Linked DNA regions of Callithrix jacchus. The protein of the gene in region 1 purifies or fractionates together with the protein of each later gene. This does not show direct contact. Links are inferred from orthologs where the notes say so. Each region holds a gene or a part of one and is shown on either strand. Other genes may lie near its edges.

Region 1 (3,518 bases):
TTGTTTCACTCCCTGGAGTTTAGGTTTTTTATGAGTGAAAGAAGAGAAGATTTGTGGTTGAAAAGCTCTCTAGACCTCGAACAAATTTTAGATGCTGAGCCTCCACTTGTTACCTTCTGTCCGTTTCTGGGCCGTCCCTGAGGCTTACGGGAAACTGGGTATGTACTTGATTTAATCTTTCCAAATATTTTTGGGATAGTTTCCTGCAGAGTTGTAGCTTCAAATGATTAGGCATAGTTACAGTTTAGAGTGAGCCATCCAGGCATTTTCCACTCTCACCTTCTGTTGTGAGAAAGAGACCTGAGAAGATACTAAGAGTGGATGGTGGACAGAAGAACACTGGCCTGCAGGCTAGGTACCCAGATTCTAATTTGGGTCCTGGTATGACCATGAGCATGTCACTTTTCTTTCACTGGTATCATAGCTGTGAAGTGAGTGTCCTTGCATGTTAAACCAAAACACAGATTTTGTTGTTGTTATTGTTGTTTTTTTAAGATGGTGTCTCGTTCTGTCACCAGGCTGGAGTGCAGGGGCGCCATCTTGGCTCACTGCAACCTCTGCCTCCTGGGTTCAAGTGATTCTCCTGCCTCAGCCTCCCTAGTAGCTGGGACTACAGGCGCACACCACCACGCCCAGCTAGTTTTTATATTATTTTTTAGTAGAGATGGGGTTTTACCAAGTTGGCCAGGATGGTCTCAATCTCTTTACCTTGTTATCTGCCTGTCTCAGCCTCCCAAAGTGCTGGGATTATCGGCATGAGCCACCACACCCAGCCAAAAATCGTTTCTTTTAATTCTCATTTTCCTCATCTGTAAACTCAATGCACGGTTGTCATGAGGATTAAGGAAAATAATTATGTCAGGGGTCTAATTGAATATCTGGCACATACAGAATGCTTAGTAAATAAAGCATCTTTCCCCACGATCTAATTAACTCTGATTTCTTTCTTTCTTAGCTATTCTGGAAGACTAAAGAAAAATAGTTCTTTTGGTCACCCACCACTGGCCCCATGGCTGCCATGCAAATGGATCCTGAGCTAGCCAAGCGCCTCTTCTTTGAAGGGGCCACTGTGGTCATCCTGAACATGCCCAAAGGAACAGAGTTTGGGATTGACTATAATTCCTGGGAGGTGGGGCCCAAGTTCCGGGGTGTGAAGATGATCCCTCCAGGCATTCACTTCCTCCACTATAGCTCTGTGGACAAGGCTAATCCCAAGGAAGTAGGCCCTCGGATGGGTTTCTTCCTTAGCCTGCAGCAGCGGGGGCTGACAGTGCTGCGCTGGAGCACAGTCAGGGAAGAGGTAGACCTGTCCCCAGCCCCTGAGTCTGAGGTGGAAGCCATGAGGGCCAACCTTCAGGAGCTGGACCAGTTCCTGGGGCCTTATCCATATGCCACTCTGAAGAAGTGGATCTCACTCACCAACTTCATCAGCGAAGCTACAATGGAGAAGCTACAGCCTGAGAACCGGCAGATCTGCGCCTTCTCTGATGTGCTACCTGTGCTCTCGATGAAGCACACCAAGGACCGGGTGGGGCACAATCTACCTAGCTGGGGCACTGAGTGCAAAAGCTACCAAGAGGGCCTGGCGCGGCTACCTGAGATGAAGCCCAGAGCCGGGACAGAGATCCGTTTCTCCGAGCTGCCCACACAGATGTTCCCAGCAGGTGCCACGCCAGCAGAGATAACCAAGCACAGCATGGACCTGAGCTATGCCCTGGAGACTGTCCTCAACAAGCAGTTCCCCAGCAGCCCCCAGGATGTGCTTGGTGAGAAGGAACAAGGCTCTTTGGGAGTGGGCCAAGGGGAGGATATTAGCAGAGGTGTTTTAGAATAGGGAGTATCTCTTGTGTCAGTCCAGCAGTAACTAAGCCTGGCTAGGAGGCTGAAGATACAGGTGTATCTTTACCCTTAACCCTGGAGATTTTGATTCAAAAGATCTGGAGTAGGGCTTCAGCAGTTTCTGTATATCTGTCAAATAAACAGGCATCCTAGGCCTGAACCTGGTACGCCCAGTCCTACAGAAGGGAAAGATTTGGCCCACTGAGTGACTGAACTGAAACCAAAACCTGGGACTCTTGGTTTCTGGGCCAGACCTATGCTCATTGTAGCCTCTCATCTACCCCCGAAATTTGCTCCTGACCCTCAAGATGTTTGTCCCTCAACAGGCTTAGAACAGAACAGTGATTTTTTTTTTAAATCATTACAGTTTTTATTGTTGTCTTCCCTCCTTATTACAAAAATGATAGATATTAATCATAGAAGAAAAACAAATTAACTTCAAATTCCACTACTTAAAACTATTTGTACATTCTGGTATATTTACATTCCTTTTTTTCTGTGTATTTCTATGTATTTCATTTCAATCTCTTCTCTGTTTATTTCTATGTATTTCCTCTTAGTCTTTTAAAAATTTAGTATATGCATCTATGTATATATGTGAGTTTTTATAAAAACAGGATTGAAGTATATTACTTTGTAATCTGCCTTAATATAAACGTTTTTCCATGAAACAGTCACTTTTTTAGTGGCTATTTCATGTTCATATTTACGTCCTTGCTGACTAGCAGGAGGCTGTTGCCCATCCCCTTTGACAGCATTGGGCATGGCAGTTTAACAAAAGCCTCTTCCAGTTGGATAGTTGAAAAATGGCACCTTGCTTCTATTCACATTTCTTAAATACTAGTGACAGCAAATATGTGTCACATCTTAAACAGCTATTTATATATATATGTTTCAGATTTTCCAGGTAATTTGCATATTTTCCTGTCGGAAGTTCAGCGAGAAATTTGAATTTAGGACTTTTTTTTGAGACACGGTTTCACTCCGTTGCCCAGGCTGGAGTGCAGTCACACAATCATGTCCTCCTGTCGCCTCAACCTCCCAGGCCCAAGCGATCCTCCTGTCTCGGCCTCCCAAAGTGCTGGCATTACCATGCCCCGACAGGACTCTTTATATCATTGGTTCAGCTGATGATATAAGCTTTATTTTAACAGGTGCATCATAATGTGTTAGTATTTTCATGTCATAAGTAACATTTGAAAGTCTGCCTTAAAAATGAATAGAAATCCTGTCTTTCTACTCCTTAAACATTTCAGTTCTTCAAAATGTATCTTGTGAAAAGGTCTGTTACAGGAGTAACTTTGTTGGTTGGTTTTTTTTTTTTTTTTTTTGGGAGAAGGTCTCACTGACATGGGCTAGAGTGGAGTGGCATGATTACAGCTCACTGCAGCCTCAAACTCCTGGGCTCAAGTGATCCTCCCACCTCAGCCTCCCAAGTAGCTGGGACCACGGGTGTGTCCCACTGTGCTCAACTAATTATTTTTGGTAGAGACAGGGTCTCCCTGTGTTGCCCAAGCTTGTCTCAAACTCCTGAGCTCAAGCTTGTCTCAAACTCCATTGACCTCTTAAAGGGCTAGAATTATCCCTGTCACCTGACCTGTCCAGGGGTCATTTTGAATGTGCATTACAGCTCTTTGAAATTATTTTTGGTGTCATAATTTAATTTTAGACAAGGTCAG
Region 2 (3,518 bases), about 56 Mb from region 1:
TTTGGGTTCTTCAGACGAGACTTTTCCAGAATGGCCCGTGCTCGAGTAAGCTGCCCAATCTTCTCCTCCAGCCGAGAGAGGAGCAGCCACAGGGCTGTGGAGTGGGGACACTTCTTCAACTGCAGCCAACAAGTAAGAGAGCAGCTCAGGTGGTGCCTATGAAGAACTGGGACATAGCCACGCCCAGCTTCTCATCTGTAGTGGCTGAGCAAGTGCCTCAGGGCAGCCTGTGTCCATGGAAAAACACCCCCATGCTCTCTGCATTTATGGCTTCAAAGGTGTGCAGTGGTGCTATGTACCTGTGCACAAAGGTATATATACACTTCAGGCGTGCCACGCTCTGCACTGCTGAGGGCAGGTGCGCAGCTTTGTACAAGGAAAAGCACAGGACAGTGAAGGGACCAGGGTTTGGGTCCTGAGTCCGAAGCTCCATCAGCTGTAACTCCCCAGCCCTCCACTTCTCCTTGGAGGTGAAAGGCCGTGACCCTGCACCGGGGGGCTCAGTTCTGTGAGCGCTGGGTCAGCGGCAGCCCCGGGTGCAGGCAGAGACGTACCCCCTGGTTGTAAGCTTCCCGTGCCTTCTCCATCAGCTCCTTCTGCTCCTCGATCTGCCCCTTCATCATCCACAGCTTGGGGAAGTCCTCGTAGTGCCTCAGGGCCTCCTCACACAGGTCCTGTGCGGCCTTGATGTTGTCCTGCACCCACTCCAGCTTCACAGACTTCATGAACACCTGTGGGGCAGACACGCATGGTCACGTAGGACATTGGCTCCAAGGCACATGCTTCACGTTACGCTCATCCTCCACTCCTCAACACTGCTACCTGCAGTACTGTGTGTACTTTTGTAAGATTTCATAGCCCGTTTGTGTACACAAATGTTGGGGATAAATGCATGTTTTAAATTCATATCACAAAAATAAGCGTGTGCTGAGGCCTAGTTTGCCTGCTGTCATGTGACTCCCACCACCACCCAAGTGCACAACGCACCCGATGCCCAGCCCAGCCCTGCCTGCCCCTGCGCACCCGGGCAGTGGGGGCACTGCTCCGCGCCTTGGCCAGCAGCCTCCGTGCCCGCTCGTACTCATCATTCTCAGACTCCAGCTTCACAGCCGCCAGCCAGATCTCCTCGCTGTTGGGGTTGGCCTGGAGGACAAGTACAGCAACGTCAAGAGGGGTCAGAACACAGGGACCAGCGCTCAATCACATTAATCAAAAGCAGGCAGGCAGGAGGGACCCAGCCAGGCCTGGCTTTGCTGCAGGAGTCTGGTCCAAGCCTTTCCTAGGGAGGAGATGACAGAGCAGACTCCAGCCCAAGAATCCAGACTCACCTGGAACACACAGGCCCATGTTCACTCTGGTACAGTGGGGAGGCCTCCAAAGCACTCAATCGAGCAATAAAAGGGGTGGGTGCAGGGCCATCTTATTCAGGATCCACCCATACCCTCTCAAAGCCCCCGAATGGGTCACTCACATCTTATACTGGTAGACCCACCACACCCAACCTCCCTCCTTCCCCTGAGCTTGGTGAAAGGAAGCCAGCTGTCCTGTCCCTGTGAGTCCATGTGGGCAGGACAGAGAACCCCGAGTATGCCGCTGACGTGGAGAAGGCACCCACAGCCCGAGGAGGCTTACACAGCCCAGAGTCCAGTGGACACCCAGGCTCTGCCCTCAAAGCCTCCCCGGGGCTGGTGCTCAGACTAACTCTAATCAGCATAGCCACCCACTGACCATGCAAGATGACCACATCACAGACCTGAAAAGCAGCCCCAAAATGACGGGCAAGGAAAGCCACCTGACAGGCAGCAGACAGCAAGCAGACAGAGCAGATGCTGCAGTTACTCACAGAGTGATGCCATCTCAGAGAGGCAGCCGAAAGCAAAAGGTTCAACTTGGTGTTTGCTCAGGGAAGGGCACACTCTATGATGTTAGCCTGAGCCACAGTAAACAAACTGACATTTGCAGCATTCTATTGTGTATTAAAACCATCTGACGAACACTGTATCGTCATAAGGTATTAGGGTATCATACGTGACGATAGAAACAAGGTACATAAAAAGAACCCACACGCCTCATGGCAAGCAGGCACCCTCAGGCCTGGCTCAGTGAGGCTGTCTGCATGCGTCCACTCACGTTACGGTGCCCTCAGGCCCTGTGTGACCCCGTGGCTCTATGTTCTGAAACACTGAGCCCGTGGTCACACTGGGTGGGGAGACCAAGAGGTAAGTACCTGCCAGTTGGGCTGCCTTCCTGCTCCTCTCAGGCCCCTTCACGGCCCGGCTCCTGGCGGGGACTCCGGGGAATCCCAACCACAGCACGTGCCACGTTTGCATGGAGGATTCTTTCAGGCCCCAGCTGGCACCCAGGTCAGCTCCTGTGTGGACAAGCCCCTCACCGCTCAGGCAACCCTCACCCACCTGGAAGGCCAGAGCCAGGATGCTCCTTGCTGCGGGCACATCCCCCGCCAGCCACTTGGACTTGGCGCCCATGAGCCACAGCACCTCCGCTTTGGGGCAGTGGGCCACAGCCCTCTGCAGAAGTGCTTCCAGGGACTCCCTGCAAGACAGAGGCCACGGGCACCAAAGTCAGGGCCATAAACCAGAACACACATCACACTCAGCCATGGCGTGGGCGCCAGAAAGACAGTTACTGCTCCAAAGTTCGATGCTATAAATGATTGACCAGATTTTACAATGGGGAGAGTGTGGGGAAATCTTTCCTCTCAATAAAGGTTCTAAAATAAACTACTGAAAAGGGTTCTACAAAGCAATGCATTGTTTAAATAGCAGAGCTGGAGAGAGGAACTTCACAAGAGACCCTTTTACAGCCATGTGTCCTGGAGGCAGCAGCAAGTTCCATCTGTGACAGGGGAGGCTTTTCATCTTGAGCCACAGAGCACAAGCACACCCGGACCCACCGATAAAGATTTTGATCCCAGGTGGACTCTGCAGGCATCCGAAAGAATGATCTCATAGAAAGAAAGTGATTTTAGGTCATTATCGAGCAAAACCACCAGCCCTGGGTATCAGGCCTGATGCCCCTCGTGTGGCCCACCACCCACAGTCACATCATCTTGCACCAATGACCCCTTTGGGCCTCAGTGAGCACAACAGCAAGACAAAGTAAGCACACACAATCACACTGTCTGGAGAAGGGCCGGCCAAGCAACTGTGCTCCCCGAGGATGAGCTCCCTAGCTGCTGCCTCCCCTCATCCCCAAGAGCCTGCGCTGAGGAAGAAGGCAGAGCAACAGGAGGGCACTACCCACTGTGCCCAGGGGGAGAGGGCAGCAGTTCATCCAGGCTGAGACCTCAGCCCACGCCCGGCACCACCCTGTTCTTCACTTAGACTGCTCCAGGTACCCTTATACAGAGGGGCACCATGAGAGCCTTTCAAAACATCTCCAAACACTGAGAAACACCAGACCAGCTGGTGGGTATGTGAGAGGGCCAGGGCTCCAGGAGGACACATGGAAAGACGCCCTGAAGACAGTGAGATTAAATAATACCAGAAAAGGAAAGA

Evidence for each region. The genes of interacting proteins can lie anywhere in the genome.
Region 2: the proteins of AAR2 (region 1) and PRPF6 purify together in Homo sapiens (affinity purification with mass spectrometry; 3 studies listed by BioGRID and IntAct, with this or other methods). This does not show direct contact. The link is inferred for Callithrix jacchus from reciprocal best matches to the Homo sapiens genes AAR2 and PRPF6.

Annotation. Positions count from the first base shown.
Region 1 is NC_133506.1:3,054,875-3,058,392, reverse strand, and holds part of AAR2 (protein AAR2 homolog), read left to right. Parts: intron 1-955; 5' UTR 956-1,009; coding exon 1,010-1,766; intron 1,767-3,518. UniProt on the Homo sapiens protein: Component of the U5 snRNP complex that is required for spliceosome assembly and for pre-mRNA splicing.
Region 2 is NC_133506.1:59,500,733-59,504,250, reverse strand, and holds part of PRPF6 (pre-mRNA-processing factor 6), read right to left. Parts: intron 2,554-3,518; coding exon 2,415-2,553; intron 1,144-2,414; coding exon 1,024-1,143; intron 732-1,023; coding exon 555-731; intron 120-554; coding exon 1-119. UniProt on the Homo sapiens protein: Involved in pre-mRNA splicing as component of the U4/U6-U5 tri-snRNP complex, one of the building blocks of the spliceosome.